4 linked regions of the Schizosaccharomyces pombe genome follow. Changing the gene in region 4 together with the main gene of any one other region gives a genetic interaction. Each region holds a gene or a part of one and is shown on either strand. Other genes may lie near its edges.

Region 1 (4,672 bases), 1.5 Mb from region 4:
CAACAAGGTGGTAACCCCACTCCTATGGACCGTGCTCGTGCTGCTCGTCTGGCTATGCGTGCCATTCGTTTCTTCGAAACTTGCCGTGCCAACGACTTGGGTAATGACCCCAGCTCTGCCGTTGTCATCGGTATCCGTGGTACTGGTGTCTCTTTCAGCTCTGTTGCTGATGTTGAGAACAACGAAACCGAAATTGAGATGCGTCGTCCTAAGAACGCTTGGTGGCGTGATATGCACAACTTGGTTAACATCTTGGCCGGCAAGACCTTTGCTGATTAAATAAATGGCTAGATTACGGTTTGGGTTATCCTTGTGGTGGTTTCTGTTTTGATCCTGGAACTCTTTTCTCAACGTTCGTATGAAATTGGTCCTAACAGTTACTTTAGAGTTAGAGATGTAAGTTTTTATCCTACGACTTTTTAATTATTTGGTCACTTGAGAATCGATTTCGCTAGGTCTTTTTTTTGAGTTATATATGTTTACTTGAGTGAAATAACTATTTTCGACAGAGATTATTATAGACTGATTATTATTTTTCTATAACGATAATAGGTTTTTAATATTTGATTTTGACCGACATGAAAAGCTAGCGTTGACATGTAAGATTTTAGTAAGATATCTAGTATTGAGTGCAGTAAATATCCAAATGGTTTATTTACATAGTGTGTATTTTCGCTTGCTTTTTCGATTTTGCTTCTTGAGTAAGTGTATCGTTAGATGGTCGACGTTTGAGTTGTTTGTTATGACTGCTAGTTTTAGAATCGACAATAATGTCATATTCATCAAGATTAATAACGATTCTTTCCGACGAAGAGAAGTCATTAACTTCATTAATCTCGTCGGTTAAAACTTGTGAATCTTCTGGCGAATTTGAAGGAGGTTGCTGTTTAAGAGGAATGCTGGTAGCATTTGAAAGTATTTGGTAAGGTAATCCTTCGGTGGAATTAGAATCAATGAATGTAACTTCAATTAACAAGGGAACCCTAGTAGCTTCCTCGCCATCATCATCCTTTTCGACAGCAGAATCACCAAGAACTGTGAGAATAGTATTTTTGGCAGGATTTATACCCAAATCATCAAAAGTTTTATCCAAGTTATCATCAAAGTCAGGATCATATATCAGCTTATCGTTTAAAACGCTAACCTCTTCTGAGTAATGCAAACGACTTTTCAAAATATCATCAACAAGAACTCTTAGAGTCATATTTTTGTCATTTACTCCAAGCTGTAAAAGTACAAAAGAACAAGTAGGACAGTAAGGGTTAGGTTTACAAGTTTTCTCGCAATGGAGTACTCTGGTAGGCCTTTTAGCCAAGTATATCTTAAATTGTTAGCAAATACAGCTGAAACCTAATAACTTACATTTTTTAGATCATTGAGATCTCCTTGAAGAACCTTGATAGCTTGCGTGATACATAGTCCAGCTATGACTGCATTTGTGGTTGCGATAGCAGGAATAATATTGCCAGCCATTTGTTTAATGTCAAATTCAGAGAGTTGTTGAATTCCAAATACATGGGCACGCAAATTAGCTGCCGCTGCTACAAAATCCAATGTATCCTTATCATCCTTGTCAAAAGAAAGATCGTCTTTTGAGGATTTAGACCTTAAAGCAAGGCGTCTAATGCTATCTCTGAGAACTGCAAAACTTTCAGCAACATTCCAAACATTTTGTTCATTAAGCCAAGGTGAAGTGGCTTTTTCGGCATTCTCTAAAAGTTCCGAGTATGAAAGTTCTTTTGGAGGAGAACGATATGTCCATGCGTCAGGGACTTCGCGGAGTCGAACTATGTCTTTAGTAAACATTTTCGTAAATATTTTTTCAAAACCATTGTCACTTTGACCAATTGACGACCTAAGCTCGTTTAGCTCAGTTGTTTCTCTAGCTAGTTCTGCGATTTCACGTCTCTCCATTTCGTTTGCAGAAACATTGTCAATGATTCCATCACTTTCTTGATCATTACTAAAAAGTTGGGGGAAGAAATAACTTTTTGCCCAAACTACACAATGAATCGGTTGACTTGGTGTGCTTCGAATGGTACAAACCGGATAAGTTTTAGGAGGCTCTTTGGGATTACAGTCGTAACATTCAGTTTTGCCATGAATGATAACCTGTACCTGGCCAAGAAATCCGGTTGTTCCACTTTCAATCAAAGGTACAGAAGCAAGTAAGCATTGTTTATTCACATGTCTACGAGCATCCAAGTTATCTAGTGCGTTAAAAACAAGATCAAATTGACGAAACCAAGCAACATTAAATCGGTCTTCTTTTATATTTGCATGATAAGCTTCAAGCTTTACATTTGGGTTAAATGAGCTTGCGGTTTTTGCAGCAACGATTGCCTTAGGTTGTTTGACATGCTTTTTACGAAAAAGAAATTGTCTGTTAAGATTAGACAAATCAATAGTATCAAGATCGATCTACAGTATAAGAGTTAATAAATCGCGATAAAAACATGTAGACGAAACGTTTCTTAAGGTTTAAAAAATTTAAATATACAACTCACTTACTATATGAACTTCTTTAACTCCTGACATAAGAAGGTTCTTTAACAATTCACACCCAATTCCACCCGCTCCAACTAAAAGGACCTGACCAATTGTTAAAACCCACCAGTTTTTCTATTACATACCTTGGCAGACTTGAAATTTCGTAAGGCCTCCACAAATGTCAATGGTTTCATATCGTTGCTGAGTTGCATTAGGGTTGGCATGTTAGCAATCGATTCTAATTATGGGCTTAAAAGAAGCGAGAAAAACAATCCCATACAAATAGAATAAATAGCAAGTTCGCCAGCTATTATTAATTTTGAAGTCCCTGCGCGATAAAACTAGAGCATTAATTTATTACACTAAGTTACCTTATTTAATTTTTCTATCCTACAAAAAATTACTTTCATTAGAACTCACAATAAAATAAATAAAGAATAGAGAAGTGCATACTACAAAATATAAAATTGAGTATTCTTTCACTTTGGGCTTGTTGGACAACATATTCGTAGTTACTAATGCCTGTCAAAAAAACGATAAACTTTTTTTTAACAATTGATTTCACATTTTGCTAATGTACTATTTCTTCAAAATCGTGGTAAAAATGTATTTTAACCACAAACATGCGAGTGATAAACAACTTACAAAAGCTTCAGGGCTAAATTTTAAATTGTAAGCAAAATAAATAAAACTGAAACTGGGTTGTATTTCTATGTAAGTGAACCACAACTTATCATATTAGTGAATGCAGAAACATTTTTTTCGTTCTGCAAATTAAGAGTCTTAGGCATTCTCATGCAATAGCACTACGATTTGTTACTGCAGGAAATCCCTTATTAGCGCAAGGCATTCATGTTTAAACAACTCTAATTTTCCAACATTCGTTCACCAGAGATGCGTCGCTTGCCAAGTTGGATCAGATAGAAGGCACTTTCAAGAAAAAAAATAATTCTACGTCTTTTCTTACTCAATTCTATTGCAAAAAAACTCCAAATCCTGGCTCTTAAAAGTATAGTAACAGAATATAGCTAGGCAGAAATGTATGGTAACATGTTACCTTTCAGTAGTGTATTATCAACACCAAATGTATGAGAGGTAGTCTGAGTTCAACGTCTACACTTCGTACAAAATGGTTTCAAGATGGGAGAAATTGAAGAATAATCCTCAAGTAAGATTTTGAAAAAACATTTGGCTGGGCAGGTGTTAACATGATAGACTAAATCAATCGGTATCTCTATCTTCTTGATGATGATCACCAGGGTAATTGATTTCTCAAGACCCTCATTACTTTGGCCTTTGAGGATTCTATACGCTACAGTGAATATAGTTCAAATAGGAATTTTCCTCTACACGAAGATTATTATCGAAAAGAAAAACGGTACGTTGGTTTGGAAGATTGGTTGTTTCGTCTTTCTTAATAAAATGGGTAGATAAACGAATTCAATCTACCATGGTTCATCTATTCTCTAACAATTCTAGATTTAACTGTTTTAAAATATGTTGAACCCGCTACTCCCATGTCTGGACGTGAACATTCAAAATTTGTCGCTACCACCGTGCGTGATTACGATTTGAGCAAACTCTTGACATCTTTTAAACAAATGCTCGTGACAATTGCTACCACTTTGTTCATGCATTTATATATGGGCTACGCTCCTCCTCTTCTCTTACAGTCTGTATCTGCTGCTAGAGGTCTGTTTGATAACAGTGAAGTGCAGATTCACGTTCAAAATAAGCCTGCTATTGATGAGTTGAGACGTCCTTTCAAATCATCTGGTGGCCTTCTTGGTAGTTTTGGTCAAGTTTTGACTGATAAAAAAAGTGTGGATGAAGCTGAATTAACCAAACTCAAGCCCACTTAAAAAATGTGTTGTTAAGTTGTCAGGAATTTTTAATAATTTCTCTTCTTCCACAACACACCTCGTGTTTAAAAATTATAGTGATACGAGTTTTTTTTCGTTGTGATAAATACAATTGTTTACTTTGCAAGTCACTAATTGACCATTCCCATACTTTGCTTAAAATGTAATTATTATTAGAATTTACAAACGAAATATGTGAAATATTAATTTATACTTAAAAGAAGCATAGGTTTTTTTTTCTTTGTAAAACATTAAATTATATCGCGTTTCATTAAAAGCTTCTTAGGCCTAGCACTTGGAACATCTTTAAGCTCTTCTGC
Region 2 (5,865 bases), on a different chromosome or scaffold from region 4:
ATTACAAGAGCATTAGGAGGGGAGGACTTTAAGCAATTCAAGGTAAGGTCTGTGGCAGCACCACATAAATGCTTAGAATATGCAAATACAGGTTTACCACTATTCCGAAATTCACTAGCAAAAAAATCGAGTTTCAAATCCTTAATATCAATTTTACACCTTATAATTTTTGGCTCAGGCCAGTTATTTTTGATGCTATCTTTTAATATCCTGCTATCATGCTTCGTTCGATTTGAATCACGATCAATAAGTATATATACGTTTTCTTGTTGGGAGCAGTGCTGAACATATCTTGATAACTCGGCTCTTCCAGCACCGAATTCGTAATATATAGATCCTTGGTTGTCAAAATAATGTAGTTTTTCCATATGTCCTAACAATGATGCCTAAAATGGTTAATGCTTTTGACTGCCGTTAAGAAATCATGTCGAACATACCTGCTGAATTGCATGCTTTTTTTTTGTACCCTCTTCACTGTTAAAAATGAAGTTAGTTTCTACTTTTGCAACCATCTTCTTAATAAAAAGCTAATGAGAAAGCACTTCGTACATACAGTCTTGCATTCATTGCCGGGTGAAACAACACCTTTTTTTGAGGAGTCGGTAAAGAATCACTAATTCTGTTGAACAAACAAATCCATTTTGACAACTCTTCCTTGCTTAAATCGACGATTTCAAAGGAGGAAGATTCTGAAGCATCTGTTGAAGTAGAGATATTTATGTCCTTCTTGTAATATGGATCGGTCCTTTCAACAGGACGCGCGTTACAACGCTTCAAATGATATTCTAAACGATGTCGCACAATTGTATGCTTGTGATCATATGGACAGGGGATTTGTTTTAATTCTTCCTGAGTAAAAATTTTTTTTATTCGTGCCATCAAGTTAGATAACTTTTTAACTCTTAAGTGATATTAGCCTGAATATTGATCACAAAAGTAAATCTTAAAATACAATAATTTTATTTTTCTTGTAAAATTTGGTCTTTTTCAGTCCTTCGGATAATTTACAACACTAATGAAAAATAGCTTTCCGATTCGGCAGTTCAGACACTTCAAAATAAAGTATTTTCGCGTTTTTCTCTTTATTACAGTTGTTTCCAACCCAGTCCCAAACTTTCTACTACTTTTATAGTTTTCTGTACCAGATGTGCGATTTTACGAAGAAATCTGATGTTTCCAACCATTGGCGTGCTCATAAAAAAAATTCAAATACGGAATCATGAAACATTTATATAAATTGATCATGCGTTCTAAAAAAGTAGTTTAAGCTTGACCTTGAAGAACGCAACTACTTTTTAAAAACCTCTGTTTTATACAACATTCCGGGAAAAGACAATATCCTAAGTATCACTTCCTTAAATATACCAAAGCAAAGAAATAATTAATTACAAAAGAGCAAACTGTGTTGACATTTGTGAAAAAAGTGTATATGACATATACACCGATTTTGAAATATTGATATATTGATTTTACTCTGAATTTCTTATCAGTAGCTTAACTATTTAATTCTGAGTAAAAAATAGGAGTCTAAGTAAAGTTCTTTTGATTTCAAACCCTTCTTTGTAGGAATCGTCGACATTCGTCCTTCTCAGAGCCATATTCTATCCCTAAGGGTATTAAGGAGTCAAATAGACGATAACCGCCAGTATCAGTACTGATATCGTCAAATAGTCATGAGTTCTATCCTTGGTAAAAGGAAAAATGAAGAAGTCGTATCTTTTAGCCCTTTGAAACGAATTTCTGTTGAGAAATCGCTTTTGGATAGCACTGCCTATAATAATTCATTGGATTGGCTCAGATCTAAAAATTTCAAGGTCTCGTGTCTACTTAAACATTTTAATTCTAAAATTATCAACGGTACGAAGCTTTTATTTCTTCACTGTGCGCATTACTAGGTAACTAACATCTCTATTCAATTTAGACCATCCTTTAAGTGGATCATGCTACACAGACATCGGTTATGCATTAATTAATTCCCGAAAAGCTTGCTTTATTTTGTCGTATCGTCAAAGCTTGGGAACAGCAGAACCTCCAACTATAACATTTCCGCTACCTGAAGAGGACTCAAATGGCTTTTCCGGGCAAAATGCCTTGACAGCCTTCGTCCCTTCTGATGCTTCTGACAAAGAACCTGGATTGCTGATTGTAATGCCTATCTCTGGTCGTATAGCATATTGGACTTCAATTGGGAATGCTCTCGCTCAATCTTATATATGTCCCCAGGGAATGGAAAGTTTGATAAAGTTACTCCCCAAAGAAAAATGTGAGCATTTATGTTGCTCAAACCCCATGAAGTTCATCATATCTACCAATTTTGGTCGTCTTTTTTCTGTTCAACTGCGCGATCCTGCAGGTCAACCTGACGTTTCTGTACAATTATTTGCTTCCGATATTAGTACTTTTTCTACTATTCTTCAGAAAATGAAGATTTTTAACTACCCTAGCATTCATATCATTGCTTTAAAATCCCCACCACTGTTCTCTCCATACCAACATCTTTTGTATGTCGCTGAGGCATCTGGTTTACTAGAGATATATGATTTGAAGTTGGAAAATAAGCTTGTTTCTGGTATGAATCTGTCTCCTATTTTTAAGCAGGTTTTGAGAGAAGGATGCCCCGATGCAAGCGGACTTGAGGTGTTAGACCTTACTATATGCCCCACAAACGGAAATCTAGTGAGTTTTTTAGTATGTTGGAAAAATTCTATTAATTACCGTTACATGATTATTTCTCTTGATTTTTCTGACATTTCCTCACCCTCGGTAATGAATATTCATCCATTGTATTCATTTTCTTCTAAATCTCTTGAGTCTTCAAAGCTACATTATTCATCATCAGGGAATTCTTTATTTGTGGTTTTAACAGACGCTGTTATTATAGTGCACGTCCAAGAGGATGATAAAGATATTGTATCGAGAACATCATGGGAAGAGGTTATTCGTATGAATACTAATGTCTCTGGCGGCATATTTATGTCTACTTGCTACAAATACGTTTTAGGAAAATACTCTATTCCTACGGAATCATGTTTTATAGCAACCCCTTATTCTGGTATCGCTGAAATAGAAGTTCATAGTTTGGAGCATCCTGCAAATAACGAATCTCTCGTAAAAAGCAAGTTGGAAGAAGCTGTTTTTTACTCCTTCCTTCCTGGTAATCCGATCGATTTTTCCTGCAATTACCTTCGCTCCATCAAAAAGCCTGAACTCGAAAGGATTATTGTCGATCTTGGAATGGACATCTTGAATTCAAGGTCTACTCATTTACCCCCATTATTTGCTTCTTTAATGCAGCATCTGTCCTGTAGGTTAAATTCTTTGAATAATCTTGTCCGGTATATTAGGTCTATGTCACTGGATGTTGATCGTCAAGTACTATACAAGTTGAGAGTAATGGGCGAAAAATGCAATTCTGTTAGATATTTATGGAATACTATCGATACTGAATTTAGTACTGTTAGTCATTCCCTAATTTTTCAACGCATAATTTATAGACTCACTCAAAGTGCTTCGTCGGATAACGCTTTGAGAGAGTGGTTTTTGCATAATATTGAAAGCATTGATCAACTGATAGCGCAAGCACATGAATTTTGCATAGATTCAGGTTCTCGAGTTCAAGAACTTCCATTGGAAGTTCTTGATGTAATTATGGAAGCTAATGAAGTAATTCTGGCAATTCAATCTTCGGCTTTGGCTTATCGCCGTGAGTCCCAGAAGATTTATAAGCTAAGTATTGATACCTTTGGAGAAGAGGTTCCTTGGACGTCAACGCCAGAAACTTTAGTTTTGCTGTGTCGACAGTTTGAACTTACTCGGTCAGCGCTTGTCCAGTCACATCAAGGAACCTCGGATGTGGAGAATACTTTTAAAATAAAGGATAAAGGGGTGCTAAGAAATGTCGTTTCAAATTTAGAAGTACAATTAGTGGCCTTGACAGAGGTTTGCTTTGACGCGTACTCAGAAAGGATTAGATGGATAGAACAACGTTGTGGTAAGGATGCTAGTGAAATTCAAGATGTCAAGGAAGCTTTTGCAGTTAATCGCAGATTTTGGGTTCAAACTTTATCAGATATAGGTAAAGGCAGCAGTGCCATTCGAATCGCTGAAAAATACTCAGACTATCGTTCTTTAGTAGAATTGTGCTATCAACTTTATGAGGACAATGAGCTCACGGATGCACTAAACAATTACCTTGATCTTTTTGGTATAAAATTCGCATTTATATTATATGACTATTTTGTTGAAAATGGCATGGCATTAGAGTTGCTTAATAGCGACAGGTTCAACAAATCTTATTTGAAACAATTTTTTAAATCTCGAGATTACAACCAGATTTCATGGATGCATGATATGAGGTTAGGAGACTACGATGCTGCGTCGCATAGATTGCTACAGTTGGCTACTAAACAAGAAAAGCTGGTTGATAAAAAGGAATCTGAGCTTTCATTAAGTAAATTATTTCTTTATGCAGTTCCATCCAACTCTGGAAATATCAGAGATTTGGTTTTAGTGGAACAAAAGCTTGAGCAACTACATATTCAAAAAATGGTTTCCAAAAGTGTTATGCCAGTCGTTGAACGGCTTCGTTCTCAGGGGAAAAAATACCAGCTTGTAGAAGCTGTTGTGGATGATTTGATTGGTGCCAAGGTAGCGCCTGTTATCGCTCGTCAGGTTATGCAGCGCGTAGTCAAAAAGTTCATTGCCGGACAGGTGGTTGAAGCAACTGAACTGTTGGAGTACCTCAGCTTTTCTTTATACCGTCGAGAGGACCTTGTAGAAGGTGAAGTTACCGACTATTATCTTGCTTTGCGTCTTCTTTTAACCACCAGATTAACGGACGATGCCAAGAGATTTTATGAAAATACCATTTGGAGACGAGCTGTTTTACATGACAACTGGATCCAAGTTTTGGATACCCAGGGTAAAAACGATGCAATTATAGAAACCCAATTCCGAATGTCAGCACTATATCGGACTCTAGAGGCTGTGACCATAAACGGACTTTTTCATGAAGGACTTATCCGACCTGGTTCGCTTTCTTCTTGTAAGTTTGAAGGATATGATCCTCAAAATCTCATTTCTATTTACCCACCCGCTCGCTTTGGAGATGTGACTGAAGTTACCAAAGTACTTAATCGTGAAAGCGTAAAGTTGGATCATTATCTTACAAAAACTAATTTAAATACTTGCTATATTAGTATGTGTTTAAGTTGCGATACGATTTAACCTTTATCTTAATCATACAAACCCATTAGATAATAAAAGAATTTTGGTTAGATAGGTTTCATCCGAGTCCCTTGATCATTGTCAATTTTGTTAGCTAATGAATCTAAAATAAAATTTTGTTTACCACTAACTCAAACTAGAAAGTATACCATTATATCTATTTTCAGCTTTCCAACCTTATACTACGCTAGCTTGGTATATCGGTGGAAAACCCAGTACTGCTTACTTGTCCACTACCAAGTACAGTGTTGGCTGCCTCGGATTCCTCTGAGGTTGTCAACTGTAAACGAAATAATTGAACTGTCACTTTCTTTGTGTTTTTCATGGAATCTTTGTGGATTTTAGCGGCATCTACTTCATTTTTCTACCCGTAACCATCTTTAACTTTCGAGTGCGAAAGACATCAACATTTAACAAACCGGAACGCTCTTTTAATCAAAAACATTTTAAAGAAAACTGCATTTAACATAGTGGAATATTTAAAAGACCATCATGTCAACTACTTCGTCTCACTCCAACGTCGTTGGTGTTCATTACCGCGTTGGTAAAAAGATTGGAGAAGGATCTTTTGGCATGTTATTTCAAGGTGTAAATTTAATCAATAATCAGCCAATTGCCCTAAAATTTGTATGTAATTAT
Region 3 (4,526 bases), 2.6 Mb from region 4:
AAGATGTTGCTATTCCAGTGAAAGCAGAAGAGGGAATTACTGGCATCCTGCCAGTACGAGGACAAAAATATTCATATTCAGAAGCACCGGAGCATGAAAAGATAGGATTTTTCCCAAAAGACATTGACAGAAAAACTGCTAATTGGATTGATAGTGAAGGAAGGTGTATATTATTAGATTTTCAGATGTTCATCCTAATCGGTGTTTACTGTCCAGTAAACTCTGGAGAAAATAGACTAGAATATCGACGGGCCTTTTATAAAGCCTTACGAGAAAGAATTGAAAGATTGATAAAGGAAGGAAATCGAAAAATCATTCTCGTTGGGGATGTGAATATTTTGTGTAATCCTATTGACACTGCTGATCAAAAAGACATTATTCGAGAGAGTCTTATTCCAAGCATCATGGAATCAAGACAATGGATACGTGATTTATTACTACCAAGCAGGTTGGGACTACTGTTGGACATTGGCCGTATTCAACATCCTACTCGGAAAGGAATGTTTACATGTTGGAATACAAGACTTAATACAAGGCCCACAAATTATGGTAAGTTCTGAATTGTTATTTTTTTTACAATGGATAGGTACGAGAATTGATTACACTTTGGCAACACCCGATTTATTACCTTGGGTTCAAGATGCAGATATTATGGCTGAGGTCATGGGTTCAGATCATTGCCCCGTATATTTAGATTTAAAAGAAGAATATGAAGGAAAAAAGTTGTCCAACTTTCTAAGTCACTCAAAAGAACCACCTTTACTATCAACGGCGCATCATTCAGCCTATCGGCCATCAAAAAATATTCATTCAATGTTCCAACATTTCAATTCGATGAAAAAGAATAAAAACAACTCACCCACTCAGAGCGAAAACGTATCTGCTTCTGCGTCCAGCGGCTCCTCACCAACTGTTTCTCGTGCAAACTCTGTCATAGACGTCGATGCCTACCCACCGGAAAAGAGAAGACGAAAAGAACAATCGAAGCTTCTTTCATTTTTTGCGAAGCAAAAGGAAGAGAAAGAAGAAACCAATAAAACAGAAGACGTTTCGATTGAGGTCCTTGATAACAATAATGAATCTGACATAGGGTTGACAGTAAAAAAAAAAGTAGAAAACGGGAACGCCTGGAAGCAAATATTCAGTGAACGAGCTCCTCCACTTTGTGAGGGTCACAAGGAACCTTGCAAGTATTTGACAGTGAGGAAGCCGGGAATCAATTACGGGCGGAAGTTTTGGATTTGTGCCAGACCGGTTGGTGAACTGATTAAAAACTCAAATGCAGTTTCTGAGGAAGATACTCAACCGTTCCAATGCAGGTTCTTTATCTGGGACTCAGATTGGAGAGCAAATTCAAAGGACTGAAAATTTGTAATGACTAGCATAACTTGCTCTTAATCAATTCTCAATTTTGATGTGTATAAACCGCAAAAAGCATTGAGCAGTGCATCACACATCTTTCATTAACATTCTTAATATGTATATACGGAATTTTGTACGGTTAAGATTTCTTTTTTTGAGATCCGAGCATCATTTCCAAACATATAACTTTGTTTGGATGTACTTTTCTTCTGCACACCGGACATTTTTGTGTGGCAGCCGTTGTACCTAAAGCACTTAGTATACAAAAATTGCAAAATATATGCCCACAGGGAGTACAAGATAGGTTTTCCGGACTATCCAGACAAATTACACACTTATAATCAGCTAGTCGTTGTGAAGATGGAACAACCTGTTTTTTGCTAGGTTCTTCTTTTTCAATTTCGGCGTTGGTGGTCGATGGGTTCTTTCCCTGTTCAAATTTTTGTTTTCTTGGATCATAGGAAGTCTCATCAGTTAAATCAATCATATCGCTTATAGTAGTAGGTTGCGCGTGAATACTATTAACATTTGTTAAACTGTTTTCAACGGAAGCTGGATGATTGTTGTAGGTGAATCTTTGATTTATGTCATCAGCATCATTCTGAAAATTAATGTCTTCCAAGTCGAATACTTCACTTTCCACATCTATGTTTAAATCAGAGGTTTCAACAGGTAGTGTTTCTTCTTGTGCTAGCTCCGAAGCAACCTCTCTTAGCGACCTTGGTGCACGATTCAGTGGTAAAGACTCATTCTCAGAGGTAGTGCCTGAAGGATAGTCTGTTGCATCTTCTGAAACCGGAAATCCGTTTCCTGGCGAATTCTCTACTGGAGAAGAACGTCTCCTATTTATTGCTGCATTTCCAGCTGCGACTCTAGCGGATTGAGATGGGATATTGTATGGTGCAGATAAGTTTCTAACGTTGGTATCTCTCTTATGTGCGGGTGGCATTTTTTTGCCAATTGGTCCTGAAATTCGAAAATAGTTTATAGATTATTGATTAATGGGCTAATATTAGGATAATTTTGATCGTATCCTAATCGATTGTCAAATGCTTTTCAGGCTTGCTAGAATAATAAAAGAGAATTGTGTTAACGTCAATATACGCAAACAGCAATTATTTTGGCAACTTGCCAACAAGTTTAAAATTAAATTTAGTAGACCTATGATTTTTGAAGTCTACATGGAAAAATTGGCTCACTACCACAATGTTGTAAGATGCTAGTCTAATTAATATTTATGACCTTTTTCATGAGCACATTCAATAGCGCAAGCGGTATTTCAAATAAGAAAAGAGAACAGAAAAGCTGGTAAAACTTAATTGTGTATCAATAATCTTTTCAATGCAGTTCATTAAACTGCGCAACCGACATTATTATGAGTATTCCATAAACTATGCAAAAATGTATTATGGAGTGCATTAAGGAATGCTAAAATAAAAAAACGATAACAATGTATATCGCTATTTCTTTTCCAAATTGTTGAATATTAGAGGAGTGTATATACTTAGCATCAACCAACGCCTTTTTTTTAATCTAGGTCTGGGTAGACGCAATGGTCAAAAGCTATACGCGGTACGAACCAACCGAATTTTTTGGTGTCATTGCGTCTTCGGGATGTAATATTCTCGGTCAACCCTCTTCGTCTGCTAAATCTGTAGGCAGAGCCATTGTTGGCGGTCTTGAGTCTGTTTTGGAATGGGATTTAAAGACTGGGCAATTACTATCAAAATGGAAGGATTCTGATTGTTCGGCAAAAGTTACTTGTATTGCAAACTTTGATGAAATGTACGCTGTGGGCTATGCAGATGGTTCTATACGTCTTTGGAAAGATGGAGAGCTCTTAATAACTCTTAATGGTCATAAAAGTGCTGTTACTACCATGGATTTTGATAAAATGGGCACAAGATTGGCCAGTGGAAGCATGGATACCGACATTATTGTATGGGATATTGTAGCTGAAACCGGCTTGTTTAGACTACGTGGACACAAGGACCAAATTACCAAGCTTTTGTTCATTACACCTCCTTCGAAGAATACAGCTGAAGAAACAGTGGTGGACACAGATATTGATTCCGGCGACATGGACGTTGACAGTAAATCGTCTGATTCGTTTCTTTTGTCTGTTGGCAAAGATTCTTTTATGAAGCTTTGGGATTTGTCTATTCAGCATTGCGTTGAGACTCATGTCGACCACCAAGGCGAAATTTGGGCTATGTGTGTTTCACCAGACGCCAAACGGTGCCTCACTGCTGGTACCGGTTCTGATGTTAAAGTTTGGGAAATCAGTTTTCCAGATGACAATAATTTCACTCCAACTACTAAAGCATTTCAGCAATTAGGTACCTTTACCCGTCAAAGCCGTGACCGTCCCATCACCTTGGCTTACGACGTTTCAAACCGTTATGTTGTATTCCAAGCTCATGACCGTCTTCTGGAGGTTTTTCGCCTTCGATCAAGTGCGGAGCTCGAAAAGATTCTGAATCGACGACGCCGTCGTAAAAAGTCTGAGGACGTTTCGATCACGTTAAAAGACGAATATGAACCTTTTGCTCTAATTCGAACCACTGCTCGTGCTTCGTCTGTAGCTTGGATACCAGGAAATCGTACACCTACGTTGGTAACATCTCTTCAAAATAACTCAATTGAAGTTTACGCTTTGGATGTCAAATCTGAAGGTTCTGCTGCACCATTAACTGAACGGGCTTCGCGTATAAGTGCCATTGAAATTCCTGGTCATCGTGCTGACGTTCGTACCTTGGCTTTGTCCGCTAATCACGATGTGATTTTAAGCGGTGCTAACGGCTCTTTGAAGCTTTGGAACAAGAAAACCACATCTTGTATCCGTACAATCGAATGTGGTTATGTACTTGCTGCTAGCTTTATAAATAACGACAAGTGTATCGTATCCGCTTACAAATCAGGAGAACTTGAAGTCTATGACATTGCTAGCTCTTCTCTTATCGAACGTATCCAAGCTCACGATGGCGCGATTTGGGATTTAGCGGTTGGTCACGATGGCACTTACTTCGCGACTGCCTCTGCCGATCACACAGTCAAACTCTGGTCTCTAAAATCGTCTTTTGATTTCGTACCAGGTACCACTAGAAAAGTCACCACGTTGAAATTAGAGCAAACACGACAAATAGATTTCACAGACGATGTCC
Region 4 (6,734 bases):
TGGTGAGAATTGGATTTCTACATTGCCTCAATCAGTACCATTTATTGCTGAACTAATGGAAGATGATGATGATCAGGTTGAAACTGCTACGGCTGAGCTCGTGCGGATAATAGATGACCGTCTCGGTGAGAATGAATCCCTCCAAGATTACCTTACATAAGGATTGTAGAGGTTGTGGGTCCGTTTTTCACAGGCTGAGTTTTAAACGGAATCTTTCGTTTTCTAAATTTTTCATTCTAAAAAAAATAATTATTGATTCGTTATGAATATATACGCTTTCGTCTAATCCCTGCCAAAAAAAAAGGAAAAGACGATCATGTTGATTGCAATCCATAATGGGTCTTCTCATCAATGACCTTTAGGGTTGTATTCATCAATTCTCAATTATCTTGGGATTATAAATAGTTTGGTTGGTTTCGGTTTCATAATACTATAAATTAAGAGAGAAATTTTTGCAGTTTACAAATGTTTGACAGCAGCAAAATAATTTTGAAGTTTAAACCAGTGTATTAAAACCCAGTAAATTTCATTGAAGTATCGAAATATTGTATATCTGAGCGACTTCGTAAAGTGCAATCATCCTACATAGCAGTAATCTAGTGGAACGGCATACGTCTTTAAATTTGCTTAAGTCAGTTTTTGTCTAGGAAATGGTGATTTGGCCAGTTTCTTGTCGGTCTTTTATATACAAGAGATAAAATTCTAATTCCATTTATCTATCGAATTGGTAAAAAAAAGCCTCGCTAAGGACTTGTTTAAGAGTTTGCCACTTCGATGTCATAAAAACGGTCAACACTTCTCAATTTAAAATTTGTTTGTACTACTAGTGCATCCTTTTAAACAGCAACGACAGTACTAATGAAGTTTGGATGTGTACAATTTTTTCCCAAGTTGGGAAAGGTGAACGAAAACATCGTTCATCTTCGCCAGCTTTTGGATCAACATTCTGAAGCATTACAGTCTGTTAAGCTATTGGTTTTCCCTGAAATGTGCTTAACTGGTGGGTGGTCTTTATTATTAAGAAGAGTTAGCTAACTTTCCTGTAGGCTACAATTTTAAAAATTCAGAAAGTATACAACCCTTTTTAGAAAACGTAACTAGCAATCATTGTCCAAGCATTCAATTTGCTCAAGAAGTCTCTGAGCAATATCGGTGCTACACCATCATTGGATTTCCTGAGTTTCAAAACTCAAACGGCATTTCTACTCTTTACAATAGTACAGCTCTCATTTCTCCCAAAAAAGAGTTGTTGAACGTTTACCACAAGCACTTTCTTTTTGAAACAGACAAATCATGGGCCACTGAAGGCAAGGGTTTCTCTTTTGAACCCTGTATTCCTGAACTGGGCCCTATTTCAATGGCAATTTGTATGGACATTAACCCGTATGATTTTAAAGCTCCTTTTGAGAAGTTTGAATATGCAAACTTCATTTTGCGTGAGCTAGAGCATCAACAAATGGTTTCTTCGAATGTATCACGACCAATTATTTGTTTAAGTATGGCATGGCTTGTGTCAGATGATAAAGTCATTGATGCTTCCCTGCCCGACATCAAAAATTTACATTACTGGACCACTAGACTTTCACCGTTAATAAATTCGAATACGGATGCAATCGTTCTTGTAGCAAATCGGTGGGGAAAGGAGAATGATTTAAATTTTTCCGGTACCTCTTGTATTATGGAACTTTCTCAAGGAAGAGCTATCTTACATGGTGTCTTGAAAGCTGCTGAGAATGGAATTGTAGTTGGAGAACTTGAAAAATAAAGATGTGCGACGTTTTTTATTTCTATTCATGAAAACATATTATATAATACATATTGGTTTTAATAAGCCTGTTAAATTTCTATTATCGTGATGACATTCCAAATAAAAATGACAACTCCTTTGTATTCAGACGTGAAATTTCTCTAAGCCCTTTTTCCCCTAAAGCGCTATCTATTAGTTCTCTCTTTCTGTCTTGTAAGGCTAAAACTCGCTCTTCAATCGTGTTATTAGTAACAATTCGTAAAATATTTACCGGTTTATCTTGTCCAATTCTATGTGCTCGATCGACAGCCTGTTCTTCGATATAAGGATTCCAAAATGGATCGAGTATGATGACATGATTTGCACAAGTCAAGTTTAACCCGACATTTCCTGCTTTTAAAGAGATCAGTAAAACTCTCACGTTCGGATCAACTTCAAAATTAATAAGAGCTTGATTTCTTTCCGCTGTGCTTAGACCACCAGTATACATAAGATATTTTATACCCTCTTGTCGAAAGGGTACCGTAAAAAGCTCAAGAAAAGAAACAAACTGTGAAAATATTAAAATTTTGTCAGTTGGCTGTTTCTTGATGATTTCTTTAACTGCATTTAATGCTTTTTCAATTTTTGTAGAAGTGGTCCAATGTTTAGGATCCGTAAAGATCTTCATACCCATTTGTCTATTCTCTAAGATATTACTATACTGTTTAGGTAGCAATTCGGAAATGTTTTCTGTTCTTAATTTGTTATCGGCATCGACAATAGGTGCCATTCCAGAATATCGTCTAAATAATGCGTAACTCAAAAGCCTTTCAGTATCGATGTACTCCTCGCAAACTGAGCACTTAGGAGAAATATTTTCGTTGCTTGTTTGCTTAGCCATATCCTCACTGGATGTAATAACATGGGTTAAGCACTCTCTACATAGAAAATGACCGCAAGGCACAATTATCAAAAGTTCTGCAACAACATCCATACATAAGGAGCATTGCAACGTTTCAATTAACTTAAGGCGATTGACAGCCTCGGGATATATTTGGTTGTAGATTGCACGATTCTTAGCTTGAAAGCTATCGTTATCATCAACCGCTGCTTCTCGAGCAACAATTAGCCAGGGATGACAACAAGCCTGTCGAAGTCTCAAAAGTAATACTAGTAGACTACCGTAATGCGTAGTTATAGTCCCTTCTTGAAGATATTTACGCATTTGAATTTGTGCTCCGCTTTGAAGCGTATTGTAAAATTCCATCTCAGAAGAAGAGAGGTCTGTTTCAGATTTGACGGCGGTTTTTGGAGGAAGTGTCAATATTGGCTTGCCATCAATCTTTGTATTTTTCGTTCTACGAAGTAGCACTGCTTTTAATAAGCCACGAAAGCGCTTCATAGGAGCGGACGTGTTTATATTGCTACTTAAAGGAATGGTAAAGTCCTTTGAAAAACTTGACCAGTCTGAATAAGGTTTAATCCTCAGAAATTTTATCAAGCTGTAGAACTCCTCAACCCCATTCTGCATAGGGGTACCACTCAAACACCAACGATAAGTTGATTCTAATAGACAGCATCCACGAGCAGCTAACGTATTCCTGTTTTTGATAGTTTGAGCTTCATCCAATATAACTCGATACCACTCTGCTTCAAAAAATGGAAGGTGTTCAAATTTTTTTATTGGAGCGTTATCTTCGATACTCTTGTCATAAGCCATTTTGTTTTTAAACTCGTAAGCGATGACATTATAAGTAGTCAAAACAATGTCATACGACATCAATTGTTCAGCAATTTTGTGCTTTTTCGAACTTCCGTGATGAATATAAACAGTGGGTCTATGTGAGGGAGCAATTTTAGTAAGTATTTCATTATGCCATTGCTGTAATAGCGACACAGGGGTGATAATCAGAGTTGTTTTAACTGATTTAGATTCTGGAGGCCTTGTTACTAGCAATGCAAGAGCCTGGACAGTTTTTCCTAGACCCATATCATCTGCCAAAATCCCTCCTTTCTTAGAGCTTTCTTCTAATCTTTTTAACCACATTAGTCCTTCCTTTTGGTGTTCCATTAATGTAGGTATTAGTCCAGCAGGTGTACCTTCGCGAATTGTTGGATCGTTGACAAGCTGCTCATCAAGATCTTTGAACAACTCCTCCAACTGTTGTTGCTGATCATCTTGAACTTTCTGGTTATTTGAGTCTGACAAATTGAATCCTTCAATATTGTGAAATCTATCGTGATACCATTGAAGGTGGAATAAGTGTTTACCAGGTTCGGGTAGCTTGGAATCATGCAACAAACCACCCGGAAGAATGACTGAATCCGAGCCATAACGCTTATTCTGAAAATTAATTTCGTTATCTTCTTCGTCTGATAAAGAGATCGGATTATTAGAAGTTCCTTTTCCTTGAAGAAACTTATCATCTTCTAAAGTGTGAGTTGTGTTAAACATCTTATAATTATTATGATGATGAAAAGGAGGAAGAGCTAAAGAATTGGTATAAGAAGGTCCAGCCGTAGATAAAACTGGTAACGAAGGTAACTCTAGTTTTTTCCTTTTCGAATTCATAAACGCAAGCTCTAAATTCCTTTTTTCCTTCATATTAACTTTATCATGGTCGTTCAGTGAAGATTTCGTCCGAACATTATTATCATCGGATTCAGAGTCAGATACGACAATCACAGCATTGTCGTTCCAAAACAAAGAGTCCTGTTTTTGTTCAAAAAGTGCATCAGATTGACTCGGACTAAGCTTATCTGTTGAAGAACTAATTTCGTTTTGCAAAGAGTGGCCATCAACATCAATAGTAATTGCATTGATGTTTGGACGATCAAGCCCAATTTTAGGAGCAATTAAAGTGGCATCCGTGTAAGTAGAATCATTATTTTCAACGGAAAGAGAACTGTTCAGCTTCTCTTCATTAGGCTTTAATGCAATCACACTATTGTCATTAGGAAAAAGGCCATTCACTTTTTCTATGTTAGATTCCATCGTATTTAAAGAGGACGATGAATCATGCATAAAGGCATTGAATAGCGCCTGTTTTCGATTAAGAAAAGCAATTCTCCTTTCCATTTCATGTCTGTTTATATCATTTTTTAACAATTGGTCAGACGATGCAGAAGAAGAATAGTCCGGGGTATTATTTTTATTGAACCCAATGTTATGTTTGTCATCTAAAGGTATTTGTTCACATGGATTTAACGTAAATTGTTCAAAAGCTGTATTATTTCTCATAAATTAGCAAAAAAATGCTTTGTGTTTAAAATGTAGTGTGTAATTTTAGGTAGGCAAACTGGTGTGGTGATACTCAGTCGCCCCAAAAGTTTAGAATAAGTACCAAATGTAAGTTAACAAGGGTAAATGTGTACATGAATTTGTGATCATTCGAAATGGAAGGAAAGAAATTAAATTTTTTAAATCATAAAAAATTCTTATTATAATAATTTCTGTTTTGGGAGAGTTTTATAAAAATGCTGATCAGTAAACCTGAAAGAAATCAAAGGGGTATTGAAGAGTCATCTGTATACATATTTTATAAAAACAGAACTGTGAAACTTTTAAATCCTTGAAAAATGTTAGTAGCGAGATGAAAATGGACGGAATAAATAAATAAATTGAGAGCATTTTTAACCCAGTTCTAATTTGTCATTGTAGTATTAAAAGCGATTTTAAAAATTTTTGATGTTTCTTGCTTAGTTTCCCAAGCAGCATTTTGCAAATTTTCTAATTAAACGTTTCAAATAGCTTAAGCATCGTCCGTGCAGTATCAAAGCAGCTGTAAATTGTTTTAATAAACAAATATTTTAATTAATGTTTTTATATGTTCTACTTTCTTCTAAAGTTGTTTCCCCCTAAATTCAACTAATCTATATGAATACTGTTACATACCCATGCATTTTAAGCTATATGGCTTTACTTAATACCTAAATTTCTTTTTTTTTTTTTTTTTTTTTTTTTTAAATTAAAAATATTCATTACCTTTTTCCTAATTACTTTGTCTTTAAAGTGCAATGCGTAGGTATTGATAGCAGAACCAAATTTCAAAACTATTATTATTTGTATTTCTAAATTTATAATGGTATCTTTCATTAAAAATTGATCAAGTAGTGTCGCTTGAATTCTCTTTAGCGGCTTACTATTCAATATTTATATGACTGAGTGTTGGCGCTTAACCTCTAATGTATTTAGCCAGGTGGATACAAAGACAAACAACTGTATGAAAAATGAAAGTTTATAGAATTAATGGAAACGGTGAAAGCAAAATTTAAGCTGTCTCTAAACCTACAAATTCGCATTTTTCTTTTGCCAGCACCATATGACGCATCCGTAGGATCTGCACATTTCAAGCAACGTAAATCATTTACCTCATTTTACTACTATGACTGAAGCGATGGAACCCTGCGCAGGAATCCAAAACTGCATAAGAAAAGAAATTCAAAAGACATAATTAATAACATGGTTGCACAAATAAAATTCAAAAAAATACTTATGTAAATGAAAAACCTTAAAAAAATCAATAATTTATAATTGCATAAATAGATTGCCTAACAATGTGCTGATAGATAAGTCAACTTACCTACGCTACAACATCGAAACCCCGTATTTGAACAATTCCTTTGTTTCCTTTGTCCTTGTGCTTATATTATTTCTCATTTTCTTATATTTTAATTGAGCTACATATAGAAAGTAATATCGAGGGAATTGCGTCAAATTTGAGTTAAAAATTGCATTTTGATTTTGAAGTTAGCATTTCGCTTTTTTTTTTTTTTGAGGTCTTTTATTTTAATATTTTCTTCTCTTTCTTTTTGCTCGTAGGTTTAAAGCGCAATTGCTGTTATTTTGATTGCAGTAGACTCTCGTGTTTACGTTAATTGCTATATTCGTTTTTCGTTTCTGCGTTCAGCGATACCCAAGTATCGTTGTTATTCCTTCTGCCGTTTAAATTGAACTTTCTCTTCCGTTTTCCTTTAGACATTGCATATTGTGTGCATTTTACAA

The links.
Region 1: of rrp2 (region 4) and uba2, changing one suppresses a phenotype caused by changing the other (phenotypic suppression), as found in Schizosaccharomyces pombe (one study listed by BioGRID).
Region 2: of rrp2 (region 4) and nup132, changing one suppresses a phenotype caused by changing the other (phenotypic suppression), as found in Schizosaccharomyces pombe (one study listed by BioGRID).
Region 3: of rrp2 (region 4) and slx8, a mutation in one rescues a mutant of the other (synthetic rescue), as found in Schizosaccharomyces pombe (3 studies listed by BioGRID, with this or other methods).

Annotation. Positions count from the first base shown.
Region 1 is NC_003423.3:2,293,073-2,297,744, reverse strand, and holds uba2 (SUMO E1-like activator enzyme Uba2), read right to left. Parts: upstream 2,812-4,672; 5' UTR 2,715-2,811; coding exon 2,634-2,714; exon of another isoform or gene 2,593-2,633; coding exon 2,512-2,592; exon of another isoform or gene 2,422-2,511; coding exon 1,363-2,421; exon of another isoform or gene 1,322-1,362; coding exon 656-1,321; 3' UTR 504-655; downstream 1-503. Other genes in the region: pfk1 (6-phosphofructokinase), read left to right, coding at 1-279; snd301 (pho88 family protein), read left to right, coding at 3,620-3,658, 3,706-3,868, 3,970-4,352; cyclophilin family peptidyl-prolyl cis-trans isomerase Cyp7, read right to left, coding at 4,604-4,672.
Region 2 is NC_003424.3:2,775,698-2,781,562, forward strand, and holds nup132 (nucleoporin, WD repeat Nup132), read left to right. Parts: upstream 1-1,590; 5' UTR 1,591-1,673; coding exon 1,674-1,857; exon of another isoform or gene 1,858-1,913; intron 1,914-1,921; coding exon 1,922-5,226; 3' UTR 5,227-5,356; downstream 5,357-5,865. Other genes in the region: tRNA 2'-O-methyltransferase Trm13, read right to left, coding at 1-386, 438-474, 554-879; serine/threonine protein kinase (CK1 family) Cki3, read left to right, coding at 5,719-5,853. UniProt on the Schizosaccharomyces pombe protein: Functions as a component of the nuclear pore complex (NPC).
Region 3 is NC_003423.3:1,287,650-1,292,175, forward strand, and holds slx8 (SUMO-targeted ubiquitin-protein ligase E3 Slx8), read right to left. Parts: upstream 2,563-4,526; 5' UTR 2,312-2,562; coding exon 1,502-2,311; 3' UTR 1,366-1,501; coding exon of another isoform or gene 587-1,365; 3' UTR 550-586; downstream 1-549. Other genes in the region: AP-endonuclease Apn2, read left to right, coding at 1-549, 587-1,365; U3 snoRNA associated protein Dip2, read left to right, coding at 2,915-4,526. UniProt on the Schizosaccharomyces pombe protein: Mediates ubiquitination and subsequent desumoylation/degradation of sumoylated proteins and proteins containing SUMO-like domains. Acts as a critical suppressor of gross chromosomal rearrangements (GCRs) during normal cell cycle progression.
Region 4 is NC_003423.3:3,837,873-3,844,606, reverse strand, and holds rrp2 (DNA translocase/ SUMO-targeted ubiquitin ligase E3), read right to left. Parts: upstream 5,039-6,734; 5' UTR 4,971-5,038; coding exon 1,848-4,970; 3' UTR 1,766-1,847; coding exon of another isoform or gene 1,047-1,765; 3' UTR 1,001-1,046; coding exon of another isoform or gene 859-1,000; 3' UTR 502-858; downstream 1-501. Other genes in the region: U3 snoRNP-associated protein Utp10, read left to right, coding at 1-160; protein N-terminal amidase nta1, read left to right, coding at 859-1,000, 1,047-1,765.